4 linked regions of the Schizosaccharomyces pombe genome follow. The main gene of each other region encodes a partner of the protein of the gene in region 2 in a complex. Each region holds a gene or a part of one and is shown on either strand. Other genes may lie near its edges. The genes, in order: gem8, smn1, yip12 and yip11.

The links.
Region 1: smn1 (region 2) and gem8 share a complex: the UniProt entries of both Schizosaccharomyces pombe proteins name them as parts of the core SMN complex.
Region 3: smn1 (region 2) and yip12 share a complex: the UniProt entries of both Schizosaccharomyces pombe proteins name them as parts of the core SMN complex.
Region 4: smn1 (region 2) and yip11 share a complex: the UniProt entries of both Schizosaccharomyces pombe proteins name them as parts of the core SMN complex.

Annotation. Positions count from the first base shown.
Region 1 is NC_003423.3:2,288,076-2,295,185, forward strand, and holds gem8 (protein gem8), read right to left. Parts: upstream 3,266-7,110; 5' UTR 3,229-3,265; coding exon 2,728-3,228; 3' UTR 2,520-2,727; downstream 1-2,519. Other genes in the region: serine/threonine protein phosphatase PP2A catalytic subunit Ppa2, read left to right, coding at 1-202; Rieske iron-sulfur protein, ubiquinol-cytochrome-c reductase complex subunit 5, Rip1, read right to left, coding at 1,297-1,983; cyclophilin family peptidyl-prolyl cis-trans isomerase Cyp7, read left to right, coding at 3,503-3,508, 3,549-3,577, 3,620-3,724, 3,815-5,066; snd301 (pho88 family protein), read right to left, coding at 5,318-5,700, 5,802-5,964, 6,012-6,050; SUMO E1-like activator enzyme Uba2, read left to right, coding at 6,956-7,036, 7,078-7,110. UniProt on the Schizosaccharomyces pombe protein: The SMN complex catalyzes the assembly of small nuclear ribonucleoproteins (snRNPs), the building blocks of the spliceosome, and thereby plays an important role in the splicing of cellular pre-mRNAs.
Region 2 is NC_003424.3:818,150-825,460, forward strand, and holds smn1 (SMN complex subunit Smn1/Gem1), read right to left. Parts: upstream 4,806-7,311; 5' UTR 4,701-4,805; coding exon 4,340-4,700; exon of another isoform or gene 4,281-4,339; coding exon 4,183-4,280; 3' UTR 3,943-4,182; downstream 1-3,942. Other genes in the region: AAA family ATPase Vps4, read left to right, coding at 58-169, 280-766, 826-1,501; protein phosphatase PP2C catalytic subunit Ptc3, read right to left, coding at 2,014-2,856, 2,896-2,969, 3,228-3,555; SPOM_SPAC2G11.09 (Ca(2+) transporter), read left to right, coding at 5,590-5,635, 5,745-7,311. UniProt on the Schizosaccharomyces pombe protein: The SMN complex catalyzes the assembly of small nuclear ribonucleoproteins (snRNPs), the building blocks of the spliceosome, and thereby plays an important role in the splicing of cellular pre-mRNAs.
Region 3 is NC_003424.3:1,265,343-1,272,576, forward strand, and holds yip12 (SMN complex subunit Yip12/Gem2), read left to right. Parts: upstream 1-5,407; coding exon 5,408-5,574; exon of another isoform or gene 5,575-5,679; coding exon 5,680-6,028; exon of another isoform or gene 6,029-6,102; coding exon 6,103-6,294; 3' UTR 6,295-6,404; downstream 6,405-7,234. Other genes in the region: chaperonin-containing T-complex epsilon subunit Cct5, read right to left, coding at 1-200; 19S proteasome regulatory subunit Rpn501, read left to right, coding at 927-1,010, 1,058-2,305; rsm22-cox11 tandem protein cox1101, read right to left, coding at 2,563-4,824; pex12 (ubiquitin-protein ligase E3), read left to right, coding at 6,547-6,630, 6,673-7,234. UniProt on the Schizosaccharomyces pombe protein: The SMN complex catalyzes the assembly of small nuclear ribonucleoproteins (snRNPs), the building blocks of the spliceosome, and thereby plays an important role in the splicing of cellular pre-mRNAs.
Region 4 is NC_003424.3:4,903,352-4,911,724, forward strand, and holds yip11 (SMN complex subunit Yip11/Gem2), read right to left. Parts: upstream 3,044-8,373; coding exon 2,877-3,043; exon of another isoform or gene 2,772-2,876; coding exon 2,423-2,771; exon of another isoform or gene 2,349-2,422; coding exon 2,157-2,348; 3' UTR 870-2,156; downstream 1-869. Other genes in the region: bud20 (zinc finger ribosome biogenesis protein), read right to left, coding at 392-689, 749-825; rsm22-cox11 tandem protein cox1102, read left to right, coding at 3,627-5,888; 19S proteasome regulatory subunit Rpn502, read right to left, coding at 6,146-7,393, 7,441-7,524. UniProt on the Schizosaccharomyces pombe protein: The SMN complex catalyzes the assembly of small nuclear ribonucleoproteins (snRNPs), the building blocks of the spliceosome, and thereby plays an important role in the splicing of cellular pre-mRNAs.

The sequences.
Region 1 (7,110 bases), on a different chromosome or scaffold from region 2:
AGTTATGGAAGGATTTAATTGGGCACATGATGGAGACGTAGTTACAATTTTTTCTGCCCCAAATTATTGTTATCGCTGTGGTAATCAAGCAGCTATTTTGGAAGTTGATGATACGATGAATCAAGTCTTTTTACAATTCGATCCTGCCCCACGAGAAGGCGAACCGGTAATAGCTCGAAGGACACCAGACTACTTCCTTTAAAAGTTTCAATTCTCTAATGAGTGATCAATCGATTGTGATTGTTTCAAAAAATTTATCCACCTTTCTGATTTTTGAGTTAATACTCAAGATTAAAAAGACTACTTTGTACATCCTCCGCATACGAATCTTCAGACTGTCTTTTCATTTCCAGGACTTGTCAAGTACCTTTTTTGCAAGGAAATCTTAAAATCCTTATATGTATTCCACTTCAAGCCATTGCAACCGTGTCTTATACGTACGTGAAATATTCTTGTTAATTTTGATAAGCACACTAGGATTTTTGGTTGTGGACTTATTTCTTCGAGAAATATCTGCTATTTAATATGTCGTGATAGCGATTAACGACTGCTGCATAGTTGGATGGTATTGTTTTGAGACAATATTATGAGTTAGAATTAGGCATGCTTAAGCAGTCATGTGCTGTAATGAATTAAACATCCTAAAGCTTTATGACCAAACTTTTTAAGCCAGCTTCATGATTCCATATTTGTAGAAGTTTGTCTATAAAGAACTTTTAAAGAAAAAAAATGGTTTATTTGTCTAGATATTTATTTATTATTGATACTTGTCAGATAAACCTACAATAACTACATATTTGAATTGTACAACTTTTTTATTCAAGTATAAGGGGATACTTTTGCATTTCACAAACCTTGAAGGCAAGAAGAGTACTCAAGGATTATATATATTTTTAGCGGTTTAAGAAACTACCACCAAAGGGAAAGTAAAGTTACATTAGACTACGATAAAATAAGAACCATCTGACTTGCATGAATCAGGCGTCACATACAAAATTATTGATTTACGTCTTGGAATAAGAGATTCAAGGTTGCATTAATTGAGAATGAGAAGGGGGTTTGTATCAGTAAATGACTATAACAAGAAAAAGGAAGTCTGCAATTGCCATCTTGACTGCTGTATAAGCCAAATGGACCAACAAAGGCTATGAGAAAGTGCATTGGACAAATAAAAATAAGAAGCAAGTAAGACAGCATATGACTTGATCCCCAACAGGCTAAAGAAGAAGTAAAAGAGAGGGGAGAAAAAGGAGGGAGGAAATCAGCTAGGACAAAAGTTTTTGAGCGAAATAAATTTTATCCGATGATAATTTTGCTTCCTTCAAACGTATAAGCAGGAATCGCCAAGTTAAGAGGTGCAGGACCACGGCGAATACGACCAGAGATATCATAATGAGAACCGTGACAAGGGCAGAACCATCCGCCATAGTCACCAGCTTCGCCAATGGGTACACAACCAAGATGAGTACAGACACCAATCATAACAAGCCACTCGGGTTTTTGAACACGGTCAGAGTCCGCTTGAGGATCCCTAAGAGTGCTAATATCTACAGAATTGGCTTCTTGGATTTCTTCAGGAGTACGATGACGGATAAAAACAGGCTTACCCTGCCATTTGACGACAAGGTTCTTTCCCTCTGGAATTTTCGACAAATCAACCTCGGCCTTCGACATAGCCAACACATCAGCAGATGCAGACCAACTCGCCAAGAAATCATGAACAGTAGCTTGAGCTCCAGCGGCTGTAAGAGCACCCATTGTGCCTACCATGGCATAAGATATAACACGAGAACGATCACCAGTGCTCTTTGTTTGATACTCCGAAAAGTCTGGCATTTCCGGAGAGTCAGTATATGTACGAATAGAGGTAAATTTTGGGATGGTCATCATTGAGCCCTTCAACGACGAAGCAGTGCTTGAAACGGGAAGCAACCGTCTTAACGAAGATGCTAACGACTTAGAAATAAATTGCTTGGCCAGCATTTTTACAACGTTTTAAAGAGAAACAGGTTGTTGAAATATTCGGTGGGTAGCGGTTGGGGAAGAAACGTCAAGCTGCCTCTGGTTTAAAAATGGCGGCGTTTGTGGGTGCTGTGATTTGCTAAGAAGGTTAGTTGTATTTACCGAATTCACCGATTGATGAAACTACATATCCGAAGTTCTCCGAAAAATAACGAAGTACACAATAAAAAATTAACATAATTTTACAGCTACTTTTAACGATCAGTACAGTATAGTGCTAGACTGTGCAGTACATATATCATCACGAATCGAAAATCCTATATCTTTCAAATTCCAATATTATGGTACGCTAGAGATCATTTTGTTTTATCAGATATAATTTTCCAGTCTATTTTACTAGGTTCCGTATAAGAACATAGCTGGATTTACGTTCTTCCGTCCAGCTATAAACTATTTGGAGATTATAATATTATCCAATATTTAGATGTTTACAGTAGTATCATTCATCACTTTACAAGGTACAGCACCTGCATAAAACAATACAACAGTATTAGATTGAAAATTATCGTATTCTTTCACTAGCCTTAATTATTTTAAGGAATTGGTATATATCATTAATCATAGTTCAATGTAGAAGAAATGCAATATACTTATGTATAATGTATTCATGAAGATTGGTGACATTTATTGAATATTAAGCGTATCCTTCATTAATATGCAGGAAATTTTTCTACTCTATTGAACATCATCAATTCATAAAACGTTCTATCCTCGTATTGGTGTTGCCGGCCAATATTTGATAGGTAATGCAGTAAACTTGCGAAAAATATTATCAAGTATTTTTTCTTCCTCTAAAATTTCATAAGCCGAGTAATGGAACTGGTTTTGATATATTTCGATATCTTTCAATTCTTTTAATGAGATTGGTGTTTTTGGGTTGGTTTCTGGTTTGGAAGAAACCATTCTCTCCTTGTCCAGTGCTTTTTGTCTTAATTCTTTTTCTTTTAACAATTGCTCCTTCTCCTTTTTCCACATTAACTCCCTTTTTTCCGATTCACGGAACCAAAGAATTTGCTCATCTGTTAACGTTCGTATAGTCCCATCAGGATAGCGCTCTACACTTTGTGTATACTCAACGTTTGCACTTTCTGAATTTCCCCCACGATCGTTTTGCGCGAAAGCAACATTCCATAGGTTTACTGCTTTTGCATTAAAATGCTCATCATGGAATTTCTGTAAGTCTCCTTCTGTAATTTCAGAACTCATTAAAAGTTCCGTGGTTTTACACAATATTGGATTCAGTAAGGATTACTTTGCTAGTTGTAACAAGTTGCGATGAAATCAATTTGATGAACGAGCAAAGCTACGCTAGAACATTTAATGAATCACCCAAATTAAAATACTGTATCGTAGTGAATTTGATAACCCAATTAAAGCAAAACAAGGTAATACGTTAGGATTATACTAACAACGCAAACTTACAAGATGAGTAGTTTCTTTAAGAATTTAGCGATCCTTAATATTTGATGTACTTTATGGAATGGCCGTAAGTATATTTTTCTTGCTCCCTTCGACTAATCTCTCAGACTTTGACCAACTTGGAGCCTTTGGCAACGTATGTTTTTCAGATTTCCAGTTACTTTTACTAACATTATAGGGGGACTGTCATCCTTAAAACTACTCGCGGCGATATCCAGATAGAACTTTGGTGCAAAGAAGTGCCGAAGGCCTGTAGAAACTTTATACAGTTATGCTTGGAAGGGTAAGTTAAATCGTTGATGAGCAACGTTGTAGTCCCAAATGTTGCAACATTAAACTGCTTCGGGTTTACAAATATACTAATTAAATACAGTTATTACGATGGAACCATTGTTCATAGAGTTGTACCAGAGTTTTTGATACAGGGTGGAGATCCTACTGGCACTGGAATGGGTGGTGAATCTATATATGGTGAACCTTTTGCTGTAGAAACACATCCTAGGTTACGGTTTATAAGAAGAGGATTAGTGGGAATGGCATGTACTGAAAATGAGGGAAACAACTCTCAATTTTTTATCACCTTAGGTCCAACACCTGAATGGAATGGCAAGCAAACTCTATTTGGACGTGTTGTAGGGGATACCATTTACAATGTAGTAAGGATATCTGAGTTAGAGTTAGATGCCAACCAACGACCTGTTTTTCCCCCAAAAATAATTTCAACAGAGGTAATTGACAATTATTTTACTGACATAAAACCTCGTTCAACTAAAGAAGAAAGAGAGAAAATTGCCAATGAGCTAGCCCACCAGGAAAAACAGAAAGAAAGAAACAAATTATTGAAATCCGGACGACGAAATAAAGCAGTTCTCAGTTTTGGCGATGAAGTCGATATGCCTATTGTAAAAAAGCCGCTCAGGCAGAAAACGCCAGTATCCAGATCATCTGATACTACGACTGAGTTAAGTAAAGATTTGATTTCATCTTCATCCTCAATTCACAGTACTTACTCGTCTGCCCAAACTGGATTGACCTCTGCTAAAGTCTCTTCCGATGAATATGCTAGGCAAGTAGACACTTTAGATACAAAGTTAAATTCTTCCTCTAAGTCCAAGGTACAAGAAGAAATTTCCCGTTTGAAGTCTGAACTTCGTGACTTAGAAAAAAGTGGTGGCTCTTCAAACTCGAAACCCGTGGTTGTACGTCCTAAAAAACGGAACATCTTGACTGAGGAACTTGAAAAGTATAAAAAATCCAAAAAAGTTGTCTTAGGGAAGCGAAAAAACTTGGAGAATGACGAAGAGTCGACCCTTCGAGCACTTTCATCATTTCAAAGCAAGATTCGAAATGCAGAAGATGAAGATGTCATGGATAGTCAATATGGTAGCAAAATAGAAGACACACCTTGCAGCTTACACAATGTTCCTGGTTGCTTTTCATGTTTTGATAGGCTTGGCGAAAAAAATATAACAGAAACGAACAGCAACTGGTTTGCGCATCGATTGGTGGCTGAAAATGATCCAACAAGAAGAACGGAAGAACTTCGAATACAACGAGCAGAAGAGCTTAAAGATGTTCCAAGTGCTAGGCCTAAGAAGCTTTTAATGAAACGCGATATAATTTAATGTTTTACAAAGAAAAAAAAACCTATGCTTCTTTTAAGTATAAATTAATATTTCACATATTTCGTTTGTAAATTCTAATAATAATTACATTTTAAGCAAAGTATGGGAATGGTCAATTAGTGACTTGCAAAGTAAACAATTGTATTTATCACAACGAAAAAAAACTCGTATCACTATAATTTTTAAACACGAGGTGTGTTGTGGAAGAAGAGAAATTATTAAAAATTCCTGACAACTTAACAACACATTTTTTAAGTGGGCTTGAGTTTGGTTAATTCAGCTTCATCCACACTTTTTTTATCAGTCAAAACTTGACCAAAACTACCAAGAAGGCCACCAGATGATTTGAAAGGACGTCTCAACTCATCAATAGCAGGCTTATTTTGAACGTGAATCTGCACTTCACTGTTATCAAACAGACCTCTAGCAGCAGATACAGACTGTAAGAGAAGAGGAGGAGCGTAGCCCATATATAAATGCATGAACAAAGTGGTAGCAATTGTCACGAGCATTTGTTTAAAAGATGTCAAGAGTTTGCTCAAATCGTAATCACGCACGGTGGTAGCGACAAATTTTGAATGTTCACGTCCAGACATGGGAGTAGCGGGTTCAACATATTTTAAAACAGTTAAATCTAGAATTGTTAGAGAATAGATGAACCATGGTAGATTGAATTCGTTTATCTACCCATTTTATTAAGAAAGACGAAACAACCAATCTTCCAAACCAACGTACCGTTTTTCTTTTCGATAATAATCTTCGTGTAGAGGAAAATTCCTATTTGAACTATATTCACTGTAGCGTATAGAATCCTCAAAGGCCAAAGTAATGAGGGTCTTGAGAAATCAATTACCCTGGTGATCATCATCAAGAAGATAGAGATACCGATTGATTTAGTCTATCATGTTAACACCTGCCCAGCCAAATGTTTTTTCAAAATCTTACTTGAGGATTATTCTTCAATTTCTCCCATCTTGAAACCATTTTGTACGAAGTGTAGACGTTGAACTCAGACTACCTCTCATACATTTGGTGTTGATAATACACTACTGAAAGGTAACATGTTACCATACATTTCTGCCTAGCTATATTCTGTTACTATACTTTTAAGAGCCAGGATTTGGAGTTTTTTTGCAATAGAATTGAGTAAGAAAAGACGTAGAATTATTTTTTTTCTTGAAAGTGCCTTCTATCTGATCCAACTTGGCAAGCGACGCATCTCTGGTGAACGAATGTTGGAAAATTAGAGTTGTTTAAACATGAATGCCTTGCGCTAATAAGGGATTTCCTGCAGTAACAAATCGTAGTGCTATTGCATGAGAATGCCTAAGACTCTTAATTTGCAGAACGAAAAAAATGTTTCTGCATTCACTAATATGATAAGTTGTGGTTCACTTACATAGAAATACAACCCAGTTTCAGTTTTATTTATTTTGCTTACAATTTAAAATTTAGCCCTGAAGCTTTTGTAAGTTGTTTATCACTCGCATGTTTGTGGTTAAAATACATTTTTACCACGATTTTGAAGAAATAGTACATTAGCAAAATGTGAAATCAATTGTTAAAAAAAAGTTTATCGTTTTTTTGACAGGCATTAGTAACTACGAATATGTTGTCCAACAAGCCCAAAGTGAAAGAATACTCAATTTTATATTTTGTAGTATGCACTTCTCTATTCTTTATTTATTTTATTGTGAGTTCTAATGAAAGTAATTTTTTGTAGGATAGAAAAATTAAATAAGGTAACTTAGTGTAATAAATTAATGCTCTAGTTTTATCGCGCAGGGACTTCAAAATTAATAATAGCTGGCGAACTTGCTATTTATTCTATTTGTATGGGATTGTTTTTCTCGCTTCTTTTAAGCCCATAATTAGAATCGATTGCTAACATGCCAACCCTAATGCAACTCAGCAACGATATGAAACCATTGACATTTGTGGAGGCCTTACGAAATTTCAAGTCTGCCAAGGTATGTAATAGAAAAACTGGTGGGTTTTAACAATTGGTCAGGTCCTTTTAGTTGGAGCGGGTGGAATTGGGTGT
Region 2 (7,311 bases):
TTGCATGGAGTAACTCGTCCGAATTTGAACCTTTGTCTAACATTCTAACTACTGTAGAAAGCAATTTCATTAGTAAAAACTGCTATTGATAATGACAATGCCGAGCAATATCCTGATGCTTACAAATATTATCAAAGTGCACTAGATTATTTTATGATGGCCCTAAAATGTAAGTTACTCAATAGTTTGAATTAGGGTGAGGATATATTGTCGCAATGATTCATAAGGAAATTTATATTTGGATCTACATTTTCAAGTTATTGTTTGCTAATATTTCAGATGAAAAAAATGAAAAATCTAAAGAAATAATTCGTTCAAAAGTTATCGAATATCTAGATAGAGCGGAGAAGCTCAAGGTTTATTTACAGGAGAAAAACAATCAAATTTCTTCAAAAAGTAGAGTCTCTAATGGAAATGTAGAGGGGAGCAATTCTCCAACCGCTAATGAAGCGTTAGACTCTGATGCAAAAAAGTTAAGAAGTGCATTGACTAGTGCAATTTTAGTAGAAAAACCAAACGTTCGTTGGGATGATATAGCGGGACTAGAAAACGCAAAAGAAGCTTTGAAAGAGACAGTTTTGCTACCTATTAAGCTGCCGCAATTATTTTCACACGGTAGAAAGCCTTGGTCAGGAATATTGCTCTATGGTCCTCCTGGTACTGGTAAATCGTACCTTGCAAAAGCAGTCGCTACTGAAGCTGGTTCTACTTTCTTTTCGATTAGCTCCTCAGATTTAGTTAGTAAATGGATGGGTGAAAGCGAAAGGTTTGTTATTCTACGTTAAAACTATTTACTCTTTAATATTTACATGACTAACATTATAGGCTTGTTCGTCAACTTTTTGAAATGGCGCGTGAACAAAAACCATCTATCATTTTCATTGATGAAATCGATTCACTGTGCGGAAGCAGAAGCGAAGGTGAGAGTGAATCTTCTCGAAGGATTAAGACAGAATTTTTGGTACAAATGAATGGAGTTGGAAAGGATGAAAGTGGAGTTCTGGTTCTGGGTGCCACGAATATTCCTTGGACTCTTGATTCTGCTATTCGCCGACGTTTCGAAAAGCGTATTTACATTCCCCTGCCTAATGCTCATGCCCGCGCTCGGATGTTCGAGCTTAATGTCGGTAAAATACCTTCGGAACTGACCTCACAAGATTTCAAAGAACTTGCTAAAATGACCGATGGCTACTCGGGTTCAGATATTTCTATTGTTGTTCGTGATGCAATAATGGAGCCTGTAAGACGAATTCACACAGCTACCCATTTCAAAGAGGTATATGATAACAAGTCTAATAGGACCCTTGTAACTCCTTGTTCTCCTGGTGATCCTGATGCATTTGAATCTAGTTGGCTAGAGGTGAATCCTGAAGACATTATGGAACCAAAACTTACTGTTCGAGATTTCTACAGTGCAGTTCGTAAAGTCAAGCCTACGCTTAATGCTGGTGATATAGAAAAGCACACACAATTTACAAAGGACTTTGGAGCAGAGGGATAGTAATATGATAAAGGAGCTATTTTCGCTTAGTTTAATGATACCATTATTGTAAAGAAGTATAATATCATGACTACACTCACAAATGTTGAATCACTTTAGTAAATTATGGAACTAGTAGAATATTGAAGGGAATGTATATTGCTTCGACAATATCTATTAGGGCAATCGGAAATTAGTCTGGGTATGTTTACTCATGCCAGAGAAATATTTTCCATAATCTTAACTGATTTTGAATCAGGATTATAAAAGACAGTATTCGACAAAATTGATATAGAAATCGCATGCTATCAAAAAGTGCAAAGTAGCAACGTACCAAAAACCTTTTCATTCTCGGAGGTAATCGGTATACGTCGCAGGCACGTATTATACGAACAACAAAAGAAAAGCATGAAAAAATGTTGAAACAAAACCGCCTAGCGTGACTTTTATAATAAGTCAACAAATAATGCTAATTACGAGGAATATTCCTAAAAGCAAGTTACATTGTGTAATATGCGTGAAGTAGGGAATAATCAATCTGCTGCAGACACAGCCTCCTTATGATCATCCGCAACATCTTTGTTAGAATTTACGATATCGGTTTCACTTGAAGAATTTTCCTCCTCGGCTTTATGAGGGAAAAAGTGTTCTTTCCATCTGAACCCAGCTGCAAGGGATCCGTTGGTGGAATCATCTTCCTTAGAATTTTCATTCGCATCTTTGTCATATCCATCAGATCCATTTAACTTTACTTGATGAAAATTAGGTGGGACAATAACTTTCTTATTGTTATCGCCACTACGCCATCCTGGGCCATGATTTTCGGCATACTCAGGAGGAGCGCAGGGTCCGTCGTTAGCGGCAACTCTATCTGCAATCTTCTTATACCATGCTGATTTATCGTTTTCTTGCAATAAGGCAACTATACAAACAGTCATGTTGTCACAACCAAGGCCGGTAGTTTCGGTGTCACTGGCTATGCAGTTATCCATTAAATTTTCAGCAATCTTCTCAAGAGAGGTTCCAGCAACTATGCCACGTCTAACAAACTCGATCACTTGCTGCGAAGTCTTGCAATCCCAAATACCATCACAAGCGAGTACGACGAATTCATCATCGTCAGTAATCTCATGTACAACAACATCCGGTAAGGCAGTAACTATTTGTTTTTCTGGTTCTAAATTACTGTTTTTGAACTCAAAATCACCGATAGCTCTTGACAAAGCCAAATTTCCATTTACACGGCCAAAGTCTACAAAGCCACCAGCCGCACAAATACGGGCTTTTTCGGCTTCATTTGAAGGCTTATGGTCTGCTGATAGAGGTTTTGCAATTCCCTTACTGCCAAGGACAGTTCTTGAGTCACCGGCATTAGCCTACACAATTAGTAAGACTAAACAACTTCCAAGACTTACACAATAAAGTTTATTTCCAACACGAAGAACAACAGTGGCCGTGCAACCTGATGGATCCGTATGAAATTGATCATCTGTCAAAATAGTTAGCAAAATGCAATGTAGTGAAATGACAAATTTTTTTTCTGAAACCAAACTAAATGTAACAACTTTTCAACATCAAGAGGTAAACATTTCTATTATCTTGGTAACAATTTTTCTAAGCATTAACTAGACAAAAGAACAAAAAATCTATAAAAATTTCAAACACAAAATTCATCAATTTTTTGGCGACTTTAAAATGGTTATGATATCAATGAAAACAACTTTATCATTGTTAACAACAAACTTACCATCCAAAATAGCTTTATCAGCATTTAAAAATGAAGATTTCAAAGCATTAACAAAATCGCCTTTCTGAAAATCAGGATTCTTTTCAAGAATCTGAGGAAGATTGCTTCCACACCATTTCGCGACTTTGTCTCCACCGTGGCCGTCATAAACCGCAAAAAAGTCGACCGGGTCTTTTACTGCAGAGCACTCCATTGAAAGTATAGCAGAATGAGCATCTTCCATTGAGATACGCCATCCTTGCATGCTTGAAAGTCCATAAAGGACGAACTCATTGCTCCCGTTCACCGAGTGCTTCTCGGTGACTGGCTCTGATAATGTCTGACCCATTGACAGCTCTTGCTAATAGATGACACAAATTTTCACGTTTTCTTTTTGTGTCGCTTCAAAACGGGTTATGTAGTAGTGATAGGTAAATCGCTAGTAGGTGGTGGAGCTTGTCGGAGGGAGTGTTGTGGCACCCTCTACAACTACATCACCACCGTGGAGACGAACGATAGTTGTTAAAAGACTATGGAAGGTAACAAGATTAGCAGTAGTCAAGGCATATATGTAAACAACAGAATAAATGGTATCAAGGACTAAATACTTATAAATTTCAAATGTTCATTAAAAAACATGTGTAAACATAGCATATCCTATAAATTGATTTTTCAATGGTTTGCATTTTACTATGACTACAATAGAGACAAAAACAACGCTGAGTAGAATGCCCCAACAAATTCAGCAACTTGATTCAGAAAAAATTTCTATTAGGCAAAAATGATATTATTTTGATTCAATTAAAAATTCCATTGGATTTAATAAATGACCAAATAAATTCTACTTATTAGAAAGAAAATTGAAATAGAACTATTTGATAGGAGTAATAAATCTTAGCAATAGCAAGTAGGATAACAGTTTTATAACAACATCAACAATGAAGATATACATAACTTTGAAAAATAGCACAAGAAGCTAATCTTTACGTTGCTCACTTTTAGCAAGTCCTTCAGCTAAACCTGTATAGTAGCCCGCATAGTACCAGCTCATGATAAGCTTTTTGTAAGTCTCGTCTAAATCATTATGTTAATAATAGAGAGTCATAAATTTTCTTAGAAGACCTTTTACTTACCATATGTTAACCCTCTTATAGGGGGAGGAACTTCCATAAACTCTTGATGTGTCTCTGCTGCCCTTGTTTCAGGCTTTTCGTCGCTAAGGCCTTTATTATCTGCAAACTGTTGGATATGTGTATCTCCTTCCAATGTCGTCTCTGTTTGCTGATTTATCATCTGCTCACCTTCTTCTAGCTTACTTATTGATTCTTCTGTCCGTGCAGCTGAAATTAATTTTTCACCATCTAGCCTAGAATCCGGGTCCGATACTCCTCCCTTTGCTTCAATACTATGATACTTTTTGAATTCATGTAAAGCGGTTTCAAAGGCATTTCTGAGCTCTGAATCATCCCACACTTCTTTTTGGCTCTGGTCCATTTTTGGTACAAGTTGTAGATAATCTATTCCTGTATGTCTTTCTTTGTACCTTAAGAAAGCTTTATTAACAAGTAGTTTCCAACTTTGTTAACTCTTATATTAATTGAATATTATTAAAGTGAAAATATTGTTTATAAAGCACAACGCGTATAACGATAAACAGTTTGAGCTCGGCGATTCCGCTTACTACAACAATTATAATCTGCTGTGGTAACTTAGCTCCTTGCCTTAACTATCAGCCGCCTTAGTGGACAGGACTACAAGAATTCGAGGTCAAAGATATAACGAGGTTCGCACATGGCGATGTGAACTCGTGGAAGTATTGTGAAAGAATGTTTATTCCAATTCATCTTTGTTTACGATTTTGGCTTTATTATACCAAAAAGAAAAAGGAATTGTATAAGCTACAAAAATCAACCTAAATCAGTTATCTAATATCCACACGAATAATTCATTAAATGCTACATGCGCTAATATGGTTTAGCGAGGACTTCTCAGTAAGTTAGCTTTCTGGGATAGATTTTAAACTACCTAATTGAATTTAAGGTAGCTCCACGTAATTACGTTACATATTTTTATGCATCGTCATCTTAATTTACGTTAAGTACATATCGCATTCTGAAAGACCATGCGAATGGGTATTGGATGAGTATCGTTCTACTATCCCTCCTCTACATACATTCATATTTTAAAGATTTTCGTTCATGAAAAACTATCATAACATATTTCAATAGTGTATCTTTTGATAATTTCCTTTTTCCGTTACTTTTTACATGCATATAATACTTGGATAGATCAGATTTTTCTTGTTCTCGATTTTCTGAAACGATCGTTCATTCATTCCTCGATAATTTGACGAAAGGACCCTTAAGTTTGCTACTTTGCAATAATGGCTTTCAATGGATATGGTATTTTCGACAGTGATCCTAGAAAAAGTAAGTATACCTATCCTTCCCTCATTTGTAACAAAATTGCTAACGTTGTTTGAATCTTCGATCTGCGGGTGTTAATTCCTACAGATTCGAGATTCATCGCTGAAAACAGATCCATCGAGCGATTTAAGAACTCAATTTTGGCTCGCCTTTTTACTTGGAGCCTCTGCATGCGTATTCTTTTGCTTCTTTCGTAAAAGATGGAAAGTACTATATGCCCCTAGAACTACCATTGAAGGTCTCAATTTACCTACACTTTCTTCATCGTACTACAAATGGTTAATGGATTTAGTAAACATCCCTGATGATGTAGTGCAAAATTGTGCTGGTTTGGACGGCTACGTTTTTTTATTGTTTTTTAAAATGGGTATAAAATTCCTTTCTTTTGCTTCCCTGCTTGGCGTTTTGATTATTATGCCCGTCAATAAGCATTTTCGTGGAGATGCATTCGGGAATATTACTTTGTCGATGCCTGCCAAATCTGAATATTTCTTCTCAAGTCCACTTGTCAAGAAGTCAATTGTACAATCTCCTATTATTGCTAATGGTAGTGAGTTAAATGTTGGTGTGTTAGGACCTTCTTTATTTAATCCAATTGGTAATTTATCTGATATACCAGGTCTTCCACAGCCTGGTGATGGATTTCTCTATCTTTACGTTCTTTTTACTTACTTTATTTCCATTTTTCTTCTTTATGTTCTTTTTTCCTCAACAAAATCGATTGCTGACATTCGTCAATCATATCTGGCTCGTCAAAATAGATTGACGGACAGAACCGTTTTTATATCTGGTTTACCTAATGAACTTTGTTCAACGGAAAATTTAAAAGCATATTTTGATAAATTAGATGTGGGTTCTATAGACAGTTTAAGTATATGCCGAAATTACTCATACATGGATATATTACTGTCTAAAAAAAGTAAATACGTCAAGAAATTAGAAAAATATTGGTCTATCTATTTAAGTAACTGCAAAAAGCTTGGAATTTCCACTTTACCTCCTTCGAATTATCTTAGTCCAAACAGAGCAGAACTTGAATCAACACCAGAACAACTTTTGGAGGTTCCTTGGCAACATCATCAATGCCATCCGTTAATAAAAACTCATTTTTTTGGTATTTTTGGTCAAAAGATTGACGCAATCGATTTTTATTCGGCTAAGCTTTATAAAATAAGCCAACAGATTGAAAATGCTCGTTCTTTTGATTATCCTACCACAGGTCAGGCGTTTATAACGTTTGAATCTATGGCGACTGCGCAAATTGTAGCCCAAACTCATATTGACAGCAAATCATTGATGGGTTTGCATATTGAACTGGCACCTGCAGCAAATGATATTCAGTGGCATAATACCTATATCGGTAGATGGCATAAGTTTTTTCAAGGTTGGTTCATAACTCTCGTTACATTTATGATAATCTTGCTATGGACTGTTCCTGTGGGAGCCATTGCCGTATTTATTAACTTAGATACAATTCGAAGACTCTGGCCGGAACTTGGTCGTATGATTGAAGATCTCCCTTTTTTAAATTCTTTGTTGCGCACTTTCCTTCCAACGTTGGTTTATTCACTATTCATCAGCATTTCACCATTTCTTTTTCGATGGTTATCGTCTATGCAAGGCCTGAGCTCTCGCGCTGAAGAGGAAATTTACGCTGTTGGTAAGAATTATGCTTATCT
Region 3 (7,234 bases), 450 kb from region 2:
TCTGGAGAGATTAAAATTTTATCCAGTCCACGGGGACCCAAAGAAGTACGCACAATATTAGCAACTGTTTTGGTAGCTAATATGTGACTTTTTACAGCATCAATTCCATGCAATCTTCTCTTCTTTTCCTGGTCACGTACTAAAATGAAAGGATTTCCTTGATCGTCACGGACCATAACAGCGTTATCTAGACCGGCCATTTTGCTCATCTTGTTATTGTGAACTGTCGATGCAAATGAATTTCAAGTGATAAAACTGAACGCTACACTAACCCAAATCCTTGAAATACTTTTGAACGATTTCACAAAGAACCTTATCTCTTACTTCCCTTTAAATCGTTGAAATAACTTGAGGTTCAAGCTTAGGGTGTATTCTTTAGAATGTCGTTGAAAGCACGTCTAATATGTTGCGGCCCTTCAGCATTTTACGAACTTCTATAGAAGAAATAAGCACTATATTTCACTAATGTAAGCTACGCAGTTTGGTATCTGATTTAAGGATACGTAGAACTGCGGTGAGTTTTCCTTGTGGTCTATTATATTACAATACACAGGTTGTATAAGTAGCAACTGAGTATAGGTATTGTATTAACTGAGTTATAATGTTACCTATCACTAATATAGCTCATAACTGAACTGAGGAACGAGGTTCAGTTGTAACGCTATTTATAATATTTCTAAATAGTTGTTATCAACGGGTATCTATGTATATAGACGGATAGTTACCCGTGATTATCAATAAACGGATCTTAGCTAGTATTCCAACATATGACATATAGTGATACGCAACGTAGTGTATCATAGCGTAGTGTACTATTGCTGACAACTAAAGTATTTTGCGAGCGTGCGTTACAACTCTGTAATCATAAGAAATCAACTCGCAATATTAGTCTCAATTGTACACTCTCCAACAACCCACATATCGAAATGGAACAGAAACCGGAAGTTGATTACTCAGAGAAGTTTGCAGAGTTACAAAAAAGTTTAAATAACCTTAATACCATAGACATCGTACGTAAAAATCAAAATTTTGACTAATCTCTAACTTGTAATTGTAGGATGCGAACCTCGAGAAGCTTTTGATTTTTGAGAAGCAAGTTCGTCAGGCTTCTGACACCAGCACGAATACGAAAGTATTAATATACATTGCTGATTTGCTCTTTCGAGCTGGTGATTTCCAAGGCTTAAACGAACAGTTGGTTAGTCTCTTTAAAAAGCATGGCCAACTGAAACAATCGATGACAAGTTTAGTCCAACATGTAATGACCTATCTTCCTGGAATTGACGATTTAAAAACAAAAATTAATTTGATTGAAACATTGCGTACTATTACTGATGGAAAGATATATGTGGAAGTAGAAAGGGCACGTCTTACACAACTGCTTTCCCAGATTAAAGAAGAGCAAGGTGACATCAAATCTGCCCAGGAGATCTTGTGTAATGAACCAGTAGAGACTTACGGATCTTTTGATTTGAAGGAAAAAGTTGCATTCATTTTGGATCAAGTTAGATTATTCTTACTGAGGTCTGATTACTACATGGCATCTACTTACACGAAGAAAATAAATGTTAAGTTTTTTGAAAAGGAAGACGTCCAGTCTTTAAAACTTAAGTATTATGAGCAAAAAATCCGAATTGGTTTGCACGACGATGCATATCTTGATGTTTGTAAATATTATCGAGCAGTTTATGACACCGCCGTGGTTCAAGAGGACCCCGAGAAATGGAAAGAAATATTAGAAAATGTCGTTTGCTTTGCCTTGCTTACTCCTTATGATAACGAGCAGGCAGATCTTCTTCACCGAATTAATGCTGACCATAAACTAAATTCTCTTCCTTTACTCCAACAATTGGTTAAGTGCTTTATTGTCAATGAACTAATGAGATGGCCCAAAATTGCCGAAATCTATGGAAGTGCTTTAAGGAGTAATCCTGTTTTTGCTGAAAATGATGAAAAAGGTGAGAAACGTTGGTCTGAACTTCGTAAGCGAGTCATCGAACACAATATTCGTGTAGTCGCAAACTATTATTCCCGCATTCATTGCAGTCGTCTAGGAGTGTTGTTGGATATGAGTCCTTCCGAAACAGAACAATTTCTTTGCGATCTTATTGCAAAGCATCATTTCTATGCCAAGATTGATCGCCCAGCTCAAGTCATTTCATTCAAGAAATCTCAAAATGTGCAAGAGCAATTGAATGAGTGGGGTTCCAATATTACTGAACTTCTTGGAAAATTGGAAAAGGTAAGACAGCTTATTATAAAAGAAGAAATGATGAATTCTATTCAACAGGCGGTAGCCAAATAAATTGTTCCGTCTCTATTTCATTTCGTTACTTTCATGACTTTGTCATTTAAATAATATACTATTGGTTCAAAGGCCTTCAACTTTTTTTACGAGAATACAATAGTTTTAATGTCGAATTGCAACCTCGGAGAAAGTTATTCTAGTAAGTTTGTAGTGATTTTCGTTGTTATTTGTCTCGTAACTAGAAGGTTAACTTGATGAATTATTTTAAATAAATTATTGTAGTTCACTCAATATGTAGTCCCTTAATTTTTATTTCAGTTGAGTTTAGTTAAAAGATTGCCATTGGTATCATATCTGGCCTCAAAAAAAGTATAGCTTAGAAGAATATCGTCAATATCCTTCATATTTGGATCATCAGCAAATTCTGGATCTATAAAGAAAAACACAGGCAAGTCTACTTTTTCATGAGCATCTAGCTTTTGCTCTTCAAAGCAAAAGCATGCAACCTTTGAGAAGTAAACAGCGGCTTGACCTGGTACTATATTATAAGTTGCAACTCCTACTATGTCATGGTCGGACGTATTTTCAGCAGTATAAAACCCTAGAGCAGTCTCGCCTGGAAGAACATATATTTCACGCTGCTGGGGCCAAAGCTTCCAGCTAAGGTTTCCTGCAACGTCGCCATTGAAAGTAACTCTGATTCTTTTATTGTCTTTACGAGGAACCATTCTTTCTGCATTCATACGACTTTGGTCGGTATTAAGAGTGCCACCATAACCTGTTTTCGAACAGAAAAGACGATATAAAGGTACAGCCGCATATGTCAAGCCCAACGCAAAAATGGAAATTGCAACCAGATAATAGATAGTGGTCCTTTGATTATAGTGGAATTTATCTCTCGAATATTGTCGTGAATATTTCCTGGTACCAGAGATGCAATTGTAACAGCTAAATGAAGTAAAAATACAAGGGAAACGATGTGAATTAAAGTCTGCAAATCGAGAAAAAGCTTTATGACGATTAGTCGAATAGAATCGTTTTCCGACAAAAATAGGATCTGCAGTTGTATTTCTTTCAACTTTGGGTTTATTATATGAGGGGGGATTGATTGAATAGGTAGAAGAAGCATCTTTTAAATGTTTAGTAATTTTACTACTTGGAGAAGTACTTTGAACTTTGCCCTCTAACGGAAACAAGTCGCCCCAAGCACTTTTCCTAGCTAATCGATAAGCTAGTTTACCTTGTGATTTAGGAACAATATTCCTTCTAAGCCGAGCATCGCTATCACAGACATCAATTATGACATGTCCATCTCGCTTCAGTGGAGGTCGAATTATACGTGGCCAGTTTTTAAGAGTTGGAGATGTAACATTCACATTTTCTAGTAAATCCTCATCATTCTTGAACCTTTGTGTGGTATTATTAAGCGGTCTAGTTATACCCTTTTGAATAACAACATAACTGTAATGAGAGCGATCCGAGGATCGACGATGAGAACGAGGGACATATAGACGGGAAAATGGGGATAGGAAAAAATGTTGTTTGAAAGAACAAATATTTGCTCTTACCCCATTTTCTATATCAATGGGGCAGCGACCATCGTGGGGACAGGGTGCTACAATATGGGCATTGAATTGTTTATCAGAAGTATTTTTACTTTTTTGCAATAGAAATGTTCTAGCTCTTTGAATCAAACTAAAGCCACGCTTTGTGCCTCGCTCGCAGAGCACCAAAAGACCACCATCATTTGACACGAGACTCCAAAGCGAACGAAGATAATCAAAGAGTTCTTTCTCCGATTTCATTTCAAGAAGCTTGTTAGATGCAATAACTAGAGTGTATGAATCCTTTTTACCCAATGGTAGACGGTTAAGCGTAACAGGGCTAGTTGGATTCGGCGAAGTTGACGGGTAAATGTTATGGTGAATATCATATATGATTTTTTTCAAAAATGGGTTCTCCTCAACAATTGAAACTGAATTAGGTGTGGGAAAGACTGAATAACTAGCTAGAGCACCAATACCTGGACCTTTACCGCAATCCAGTATATGTTGAGACTTGCAAGACACATCACTGTTTACAATTTTCAAGTCAGTCAATACGCTGTATAGAGAAGCATATTGATACGGCATAGACTGATGAATATAAGCTAAAACTTGGGGATCTGTCATAGTCCGAGTAGATTCATCTTTGAATGGCGCAGACAATGGAAGCTGAGATTCCGTAGCCAAATCTTTTTTAATATCATTAATAAATTTTTTAATTTGTCCTTTTTCGCTCTTTTTCAATAAATCGTCCACATATAGATTAAATTTTGTATGCAAACTAATATCACCACTTTTCTTTTGATCCTTTACCAAAAAGTCGAGTAAACTGGAAGCTTCTGGACGATGTGAAGAGATCAATTCGTTTTTATAATCAGAAAAGTTGTTTTGAACAGCTTGAAAATTTGCATTATACCACCTAATGGTAGTGGTTGTTCCATATGGTATGAGACATCGCTGATTTTGAAAAGTAAAGCAATTCCGTAAATTATAAAGAAACAGAATTTTATATCTGCATGTTAGAATGGGCATATGTGCTGCTCAAAACACCAATTCACCAATGAACAATGGGATTTGGGGATAAAGCACTGATCTGTATATTGTGTAGAGTAAGTGCCTGATTAAGTGGCCGCAGATGGTGTTACTTGCGTTGACAGAAGAATGAATAGTACAATTTCCTACATATCTATATGTTTTATGTTTATTAAATTAGTTCAAGGATAGGCAATTCTGTCTGAGTGAATATTCTCCCAGTTTTAGCTTCTTATACACTTCAAAAAAATGCAAAACTTTGAACTTCTTTGAAAATAAGAACAAGTAATAAATTTTATGATAGTAAAGGAATTATCAAGAAATAGCTAAAATTAGTTTTAGCATTACACTTGATCAAGATAGACTCTTCACATTGATAGTTCTACAGATACCTCTTTAACCTTACCATTCTATTATACTAGGGTAATCTTCGATTTACGAAACATTCCTTGTTAACTAACTACAAACGAAAAGTTGCCGGAAAAAAACAGCCTACATTCCTTGAGTATTTTCATGAAAATTCGGTAATTCTTTTCCATTTGGTTTATATGAGAAGTTTGCAATTGTACAATAATAATTCAAAATGCCCTCGAAAAGAAAAAGAAATCCTTTACAATATCAGACTTCAGGATCATTAGATGAGGAAACAAATCAACGCAGCGCTTTTCCACAAATCGACAACAATAGTGCTTCAGAATCTTTGGAATATGATATACCACTTGATGGTTTAGATTATTTAGCAACTGTGAGGTACGAACATTTATATATGAATTTTTGTGAAAATCGAAATTTGCAACATGAATGCTTTAATCTAATCATTGTAACAATAATTGGGCTTTTTACTGACAAGTTCAGAGAAGAAGCTCGCAAGCTAGTTCCATTTGTAGCGGCGCGTCGTGAGCCTGAAACAAGAGAAACCATTCCTCTTCGCAAATTGGAAATCGAGGCCGGCAAAAAAAGCTTTGACCCGTTTTTACGATACTTACTAAACATAATTGATAAAGAAGGGGAAAGGCTTGAGCAATATATGGAATCTTCTTCATTGGACGCATCTATTTTACCTAAAAATTTACAACAATGGCGTGTATATATTGAGCATAAAGCTCCTTGTTGGGCCATATTAGCAGTGGTTGATTTGGCAACTGTTTTGGAGATCCTAGAAAGCTTGTCCAGCTGGCTTGAAAAGGACGCAATTGATTTACAGGTTGGTAACAAGGATCTCATGCTACTTTGCTGGTGTATTTTTGTTCATTCTAAAATTTGCTAACATTTTTCTAGAGTCAATGGATTTTTTGCTTTTGTTATAAACTTCCTGAGCTTTTGAATGGAGAAGATATATCGACCCTACGTTCAGTACTCAAGTCTTTACGAAGTACGCATACTTCTTTTCCTGCTCTGCAGATGTCAGCATCTGCCCTTCAAGCAGTCTTAGTTTATCGATATGGACAAAAAGATCTCTTTCAAACATAGAGTCTATAAATCTTGGTCGAAAAAAATTTAGGTACACATGTTCATATAGCATACGTTTGTTTATAGGGAAAAAATTAAAATTGATAGCTTGTTTTAAATATGTTTTTAGGATATTATTCCATTAAATAACTGTTTAAAATTTCAGTTTTTATTTGCAAATTTACAGTAAGTACTCAAACTACAAAGATTCTAATGGATCTAGTTCAGTCCTTTCCTTGCTTCAACGCACTTGTCTAAGGAGCTATTCAGTCAATGGATTCGCCTTCATTATTGGAAGTTTTACAAGTTCAACAGGTGGAAAAACTTATATCACCTTCATTAAGGTTTATACTAGCAGTAAGTAAAATAAATAAATGATGATAAATTAATCTCTTTCAGTATTTCACACATCGATATCCAAGATTTTTATTACGGGCATATAATTCTTTTGATGGTATTTATTTATTGGTAAAACTTTTACTTGAGAAATCTCAGCTTAAAAAATGGAATGCTACATCTGTTGAAAGAAGGTTTCAACTCAAACGAGTAATAGCGGTTCGTGACAGTAGTATAATCGCTGAGGAATTCCCACAAGAATCAGAGTCCGCTACTTCGCTCAATGGGATTGACGTGTTAAAAAAGTTGTTTTTAACTTATTGCATACCATATTTGCTTGAAAAGTGCGAATCGTTAACAACGGTTAAAGAAAATCATACTGCCGTTTCTATTCTCTCATTACAGGCTCGTGACAAGCAGAAAGGGGCTTTAAGTGTATTTTATTCGAAAATTAAGATCCTACTTGTCAGGTTGAAGAAAATTTTGCATTTTGTATTTCGTTTGATAAGAAAATCTAATACCTACTTACAGTGGTTGTACTATTTACTTTATGCTTTGGGTAAAACTCCTTATACAAACCTTGCTGATCACATATTAAGACAACGTGTGATTTATAATGTGGAAA
Region 4 (8,373 bases), 4.1 Mb from region 2:
TGCGTCTAATGAAACGTTCTTTGATGAATTTGTTTTTTTACGAGGATTTTGTTAAATGATAGCGAATGCGTTATGAAAAAATTATCAAAAAAATTTTATTTATTTAAAACACCATGTATCCAAAGAAACCAAAATAACGTGAAGGTAGTTTGAGATGCTCACTCTTGAAGCTAGATTAACATCCAGTAACCAATGGTAAGGTATTAGTTGTAAATTTGTAATCCAAACATGGATGCAACTAAAATTACCAATAAACGCTGCTAATGATAATATAGCAGAATAAATGAGAATGAGACATATAAAAATCTGTTTAAATAAAGAGCATGCGCTACGAATATGGAACAAAAGCAAAAGTGCTGACTAACTTAGCATTCGTAAATGTGTCTCTAGTTTAGTCCGCCATGACAACGTTACTATTGTCAGCAAGCTTGGAAGCTACACTCTGTTTTGGCTGTCCAATATTCACCGCAGCTTCTGCTTCTTCTTGTGTATACGGCTCTTCACGCAAATTTTTTAACCTTCGTTTGTGAACCTTTCCCTTCTTATGCACCAGCAATGCTTGAGACGAGTCAAAGTACCGTGCACATTCAATGCAATAATGTTGACCTAAACCTGGCAAATCCGGATCTATAGGTAATTTATCAAATTTCTCAGACTCTGTTAAGTCATTGTGAATCTGATCTAAGTCTCTATTTGTCCAATTGTTAATTTACCAAACGATGATTGAATGACCATGAAATTTGCATACCTCCCATAAACACGAGTTCTAAACAAAGCATGATTTCCATTGCTATGATGCTTTCTTTTTCTGGCAACTCTTCCCATTGTCCGTCACTTCAAACAAACCCGTTTACCACAATTACAATGTTAGTTGCAAAGGATAAACTTTTTTAAGCGTAAACACATTCAATATCCAAACGGCGTAATGTGTGCTATATCGTATAGTGAAAAATAATTCTCAAATAATCTTATTTTCCTATCGTAGTTTGCGATAAGTTTAATAACGAGAAGGAAAGCCTCGTTATATAGTTGAAAAGCAAGAGAAATGTATTAGATATGTATTATTGATTGTTCTGAATAGCTCAAGTAGCGTAAATTTTTTAATAAATAAATATTCGTTCAAAATTTGGGAGAGCATGGTCAAAGCAAGTTGAAATGCATGCCTTTGAAATTGCGCTTTTTAAGCGACGATTGCTCCATCGTTTGACAAAACTTTGTAATTTAAGGGATGTTTAGCATCGGAATTTATTAGGGAAAATTGCTTTAGGCGTGATTCTTAGTACATGGCAACTATAGAAGAAATGAATTAACATTCAGTAGCTTTCTGGCTTTAACTGCCACTATTTCATCAAAGTCTCGACAAGTTGACGTTTAGTCGAAGGAAAGAAAGTATTCACGTAGCGAGATCAGAGTCCGCTTATCAGCAAGGAAAAAATTGAGCTCTCCATTTAGACTGCTATACTGAAGTGTGAGCAATTTTAGTGACATTTAGTTTTACAAAAGGAGCTTGATTGCTCGAACTCAAAAGATTCAATTAACCACGAAGGGGTTCTTGGCAGTGAGGTTGTAATTATTTCTTTTTTATTTTATCTTTATTTGACTTTTGTTTTTTCCCAAAGAATAATTGCAATGTTCAATTAGTTTTGAATTTGAAAAACCTCATATGGGTAAAAAATCACTCGGTCGAAAAAGACAGTAAAAATTTATTAGTTAATTTCGTAAGATGGGGCGCGAATTAAAGAAAGTTGCTAGTTATCATGTAATAACATAATTGAAACCCTCGATTCGACAAGTATGCAGACAGCAAAACGAATGCACGTACTAAACAAATAGTAAGCCATTTTTTGTAAAATGAAAATGTGAATCAATAAACAAATAACTTTGCCTATCTCAATTCAAACGTGTTTTTTTAAAATATATCTATCGATTTGTAATAGGCAAATTGTTTATTGCAGCTATCTCCAAGCTTGCTTAATCACATGTTCAAAGATGCAAAGCCCAGCATATCCGTGTAGCATATGTTTTCATTCAAAAAAGTAATAATATCCTAAAAACATATTTAAAACAAGCTATCAATTTTAATTTTTTCCCTATAAACAAACGTATGCTATATGAACATGTGTACCTAAATTTTTTTCGACCAAGATTTATAGACTCTATGTTTGAAAGAGATCTTTTTGTCCATATCGATAAACTAAGACTGCTTGAAGGGCAGATGCTGACATCTGCAGAGCAGGAAAAGAAGTATGCGTACTTCGTAAAGACTTGAGTACTGAACGTAGGGTCGATATATCTTCTCCATTCAAAAGCTCAGGAAGTTTATAACAAAAGCAAAAAATCCATTGACTCTAGAAAAATGTTAGCAAATTTTAGAATGAACAAAAATACACCAGCAAAGTAGCATGAGATCCTTGTTACCAACCTGTAAATCAATTGCGTCCTTTTCAAGCCAGCTGGACAAGCTTTCTAGGATCTCCAAAACAGTTGCCAAATCAACCACTGCTAATATGGCCCAACAAGGAGCTTTATGCTCAATATATACACGCCATTGTTGTAAATTTTTAGGTAAAATAGATGCGTCCAATGAAGAAGATTCCATATATTGCTCAAGCCTTTCCCCTTCTTTATCAATTATGTTTAGTAAGTATCGTAAAAACGGGTCAAAGCTTTTTTTGCCGGCCTCGATTTCCAATTTGCGAAGAGGAATGGTTTCTCTTGTTTCAGGCTCACGACGCGCCGCTACAAATGGAACTAGCTTGCGAGCTTCTTCTCTGAACTTGTCAGTAAAAAGCCCAATTATTGTTACAATGATTAGATTAAAGCATTCATGTTGCAAATTTCGATTTTCACAAAAATTCATATATAAATGTTCGTACCTCACAGTTGCTAAATAATCTAAACCATCAAGTGGTATATCATATTCCAAAGATTCTGAAGCACTATTGTTGTCGATTTGTGGAAAAGCGCTGCGTTGATTTGTTTCCTCATCTAATGATCCTGAAGTCTGATATTGTAAAGGATTTCTTTTTCTTTTCGAGGGCATTTTGAATTATTATTGTACAATTGCAAACTTCTCATATAAACCAAATGGAAAAGAATTACCGAATTTTCATGAAAATACTCAAGGAATGTAGGCTGTTTTTTTCCGGCAACTTTTCGTTTGTAGTTAGTTAACAAGGAATGTTTCGTAAATCGAAGATTACCCTAGTATAATAGAATGGTAAGGTTAAAGAGGTATCTGTAGAACTATCAATGTGAAGAGTCTATCTTGATCAAGTGTAATGCTAAAACTAATTTTAGCTATTTCTTGATAATTCCTTTACTATCATAAAATTTATTACTTGTTCTTATTTTCAAAGAAGTTCAAAGTTTTGCATTTTTTTGAAGTGTATAAGAAGCTAAAACTGGGAGAATATTCACTCAGACAGAATTGCCTATCCTTGAACTAATTTAATAAACATAAAACATATAGATATGTAGGAAATTGTACTATTCATTCTTCTGTCAACGCAAGTAACACCATCTGCGGCCACTTAATCAGGCACTTACTCTACACAATATACAGATCAGTGCTTTATCCCCAAATCCCATTGTTCATTGGTGAATTGGTGTTTTGAGCAGCACATATGCCCATTCTAACATGCAGATATAAAATTCTGTTTCTTTATAATTTACGGAATTGCTTTACTTTTCAAAATCAGCGATGTCTCATACCATATGGAACAACCACTACCATTAGGTGGTATAATGCAAATTTTCAAGCTGTTCAAAACAACTTTTCTGATTATAAAAACGAATTGATCTCTTCACATCGTCCAGAAGCTTCCAGTTTACTCGACTTTTTGGTAAAGGATCAAAAGAAAAGTGGTGATATTAGTTTGCATACAAAATTTAATCTATATGTGGACGATTTATTGAAAAAGAGCGAAAAAGGACAAATTAAAAAATTTATTAATGATATTAAAAAAGATTTGGCTACGGAATCTCAGCTTCCATTGTCTGCGCCATTCAAAGATGAATCTACTCGGACTATGACAGATCCCCAAGTTTTAGCTTATATTCATCAGTCTATGCCGTATCAATATGCTTCTCTATACAGCGTATTGACTGACTTGAAAATTGTAAACAGTGATGTGTCTTGCAAGTCTCAACATATACTGGATTGCGGTAAAGGTCCAGGTATTGGTGCTCTAGCTAGTTATTCAGTCTTTCCCACACCTAATTCAGTTTCAATTGTTGAGGAGAACCCATTTTTGAAAAAAATCATATATGATATTCACCATAACATTTACCCGTCAACTTCGCCGAATCCAACTAGCCCTGTTACGCTTAACCGTCTACCATTGGGTAAAAAGGATTCATACACTCTAGTTATTGCATCTAACAAGCTTCTTGAAATGAAATCGGAGAAAGAACTCTTTGATTATCTTCGTTCGCTTTGGAGTCTCGTGTCAAATGATGGTGGTCTTTTGGTGCTCTGCGAGCGAGGCACAAAGCGTGGCTTTAGTTTGATTCAAAGAGCTAGAACATTTCTATTGCAAAAAAGTAAAAATACTTCTGATAAACAATTCAATGCCCATATTGTAGCACCCTGTCCCCACGATGGTCGCTGCCCCATTGATATAGAAAATGGGGTAAGAGCAAATATTTGTTCTTTCAAACAACATTTTTTCCTATCCCCATTTTCCCGTCTATATGTCCCTCGTTCTCATCGTCGATCCTCGGATCGCTCTCATTACAGTTATGTTGTTATTCAAAAGGGTATAACTAGACCGCTTAATAATACCACACAAAGGTTCAAGAATGATGAGGATTTACTAGAAAATGTGAATGTTACATCTCCAACTCTTAAAAACTGGCCACGTATAATTCGACCTCCACTGAAGCGAGATGGACATGTCATAATTGATGTCTGTGATAGCGATGCTCGGCTTAGAAGGAATATTGTTCCTAAATCACAAGGTAAACTAGCTTATCGATTAGCTAGGAAAAGTGCTTGGGGCGACTTGTTTCCGTTAGAGGGCAAAGTTCAAAGTACTTCTCCAAGTAGTAAAATTACTAAACATTTAAAAGATGCTTCTTCTACCTATTCAATCAATCCCCCCTCATATAATAAACCCAAAGTTGAAAGAAATACAACTGCAGATCCTATTTTTGTCGGAAAACGATTCTATTCGACTAATCGTCATAAAGCTTTTTCTCGATTTGCAGACTTTAATTCACATCGTTTCCCTTGTATTTTTACTTCATTTAGCTGTTACAATTGCATCTCTGGTACCAGGAATATTTCACGACAATATTCGAGAGATAAATTCCACTATAATCAAAGGACCACTATCTATTATCTGGTTGCAATTTCCATTTTTGCGTTGGGCTTGACATATGCGGCTGTACCTTTATATCGTCTTTTCTGTTCGAAAACAGGTTATGGTGGCACTCTTAATACCGACCAAAGTCGTATGAATGCAGAAAGAATGGTTCCTCGTAAAGACAATAAAAGAATCAGAGTTACTTTCAATGGCGACGTTGCAGGAAACCTTAGCTGGAAGCTTTGGCCCCAGCAGCGTGAAATATATGTTCTTCCAGGCGAGACTGCTCTAGGGTTTTATACTGCTGAAAATACGTCCGACCATGACATAGTAGGAGTTGCAACTTATAATATAGTACCAGGTCAAGCCGCTGTTTACTTCTCAAAGGTTGCATGCTTTTGCTTTGAAGAGCAAAAGCTAGATGCTCATGAAAAAGTAGACTTGCCTGTGTTTTTCTTTATAGATCCAGAATTTGCTGATGATCCAAATATGAAGGATATTGACGATATTCTTCTAAGCTATACTTTTTTTGAGGCCAGATATGATACCAATGGCAATCTTTTAACTAAACTCAACTGAAATAAAAATTAAGGGACTACATATTGAGTGAACTACAATAATTTATTTAAAATAATTCATCAAGTTAACCTTCTAGTTACGAGACAAATAACAACGAAAATCACTACAAACTTACTAGAATAACTTTCTCCGAGGTTGCAATTCGACATTAAAACTATTGTATTCTCGTAAAAAAAGTTGAAGGCCTTTGAACCAATAGTATATTATTTAAATGACAAAGTCATGAAAGTAACGAAATGAAATAGAGACGGAACAATTTATTTGGCTACCGCCTGTTGAATAGAATTCATCATTTCTTCTTTTATAATAAGCTGTCTTACCTTTTCCAATTTTCCAAGAAGTTCAGTAATATTGGAACCCCACTCATTCAATTGCTCTTGCACATTTTGAGATTTCTTGAATGAAATGACTTGAGCTGGGCGATCAATCTTGGCATAGAAATGATGCTTTGCAATAAGGTCGCAAAGAAATTGTTCTGTTTCGGAAGGACTCATATCCAACAACACTCCTAGACGACTGCAATGAATGCGGGAATAATAGTTTGCGACTACACGAATATTGTGTTCGATGACTCGCTTACGAAGTTCAGACCAACGTTTCTCACCTTTTTCGTCATTTTCAGCAAAAACAGGATTACTCCTTAAAGCACTTCCATAGATTTCGGCAATTTTGGGCCATCTCATTAGTTCATTGACAATAAAGCACTTAACCAATTGTTGGAGTAAAGGAAGAGAATTTAGTTTATGGTCAGCATTAATTCGGTGAAGAAGATCTGCCTGCTCGTTATCATAAGGAGTAAGCAAGGCAAAGCAAACGACATTTTCTAATATTTCTTTCCATTTCTCGGGGTCCTCTTGAACCACGGCGGTGTCATAAACTGCTCGATAATATTTACAAACATCAAGATATGCATCGTCGTGCAAACCAATTCGGATTTTTTGCTCATAATACTTAAGTTTTAAAGACTGGACGTCTTCCTTTTCAAAAAACTTAACATTTATTTTCTTCGTGTAAGTAGATGCCATGTAGTAATCAGACCTCAGTAAGAATAATCTAACTTGATCCAAAATGAATGCAACTTTTTCCTTCAAATCAAAAGATCCGTAAGTCTCTACTGGTTCATTACACAAGATCTCCTGGGCAGATTTGATGTCACCTTGCTCTTCTTTAATCTGGGAAAGCAGTTGTGTAAGACGTGCCCTTTCTACTTCCACATATATCTTTCCATCAGTAATAGTACGCAATGTTTCAATCAAATTAATTTTTGTTTTTAAATCGTCAATTCCAGGAAGATAGGTCATTACATGTTGGACTAAACTTGTCATCGATTGTTTCAGTTGGCCATGCTTTTTAAAGAGACTAACCAACTGTTCGTTTAAGCCTTGGAAATCACCAGCTCGAAAGAGCAAATCAGCAATGTATATTAATACTTTCGTATTCGTGCTGGTGTCAGAAGCCTGACGAACTTGCTTCTCAAAAATCAAAAGCTTCTCGAGGTTCGCATCCTACAATTACAAGTTAGAGATTAGTCAAAATTTTGATTTTTACGTACGATGTCTATGGTATTAAGGTTATTTAAACTTTTTTGTAACTCTGCAAACTTCTCTGAGTAATCAACTTCCGGTTTCTGTTCCATTTCGATATGTGGGTTGTTGGAGAGTGTACAATTGAGACTAATATTGCGAGTTGATTTCTTATGATTACAGAGTTGTACCGCACGCTCGCAAAATACTTTAGTTGTCAGCAATACTACTCTACGCTATGATACACTACGTTGCGTATCACTATATGTCATATGTTGGAATACTAGCTAAGATCCGTTTATTGATAATCACGGGTAACGATCCGTCTATATACATAGATACCCGTTGATAACGCGAATGAGCCGTTCGGCTTCTTAGTTCGTAGATCCGAGATTTCGAACTGCTTTTAGGCAGTAAATGATAGCTTTTCCATCTAACTGACTCTAAAATCACACTCCCTTGTTACTGGACCCACATTAGCGATAGCGGATACAAAAATGCAGGGAATTGAAAGACCGAGTTCGTGGCCTATTGAGAGAAAATGGAACTTCCCTTCCCAAAAGCACCTTTGACCTGCAGAAAAATTAGGCCAATTATTATGATGCCAAGTCTGGAAAAACACCACAGGTTCGGTATATTATTATTGTCAATATTGTTATACTGAGTTAGTTTTTTTTTTTTTTTTTTTTTTTTTTTTTTTTTTTAATACCAAAGTTTCGTATGCCTATAGCATTAATCTAGATCTAGCTTGCGTCATATAAGGACCAGATTTACTCTTGACCGACTTCATAGCAGCATAATTAGCATCTCCTCGGCATAAAAGAAAAAATTTTGCTATCTCCACTCTCACAAGGTTAGCGAAGGTTTGTGCATTTGACAGCAGGTTGGTTAAATTCGTTAAGCTTCCAAGAGATATAAATATAGTGGCTCGAATTTGACTTATCCAGTCAGTCATTCATTGC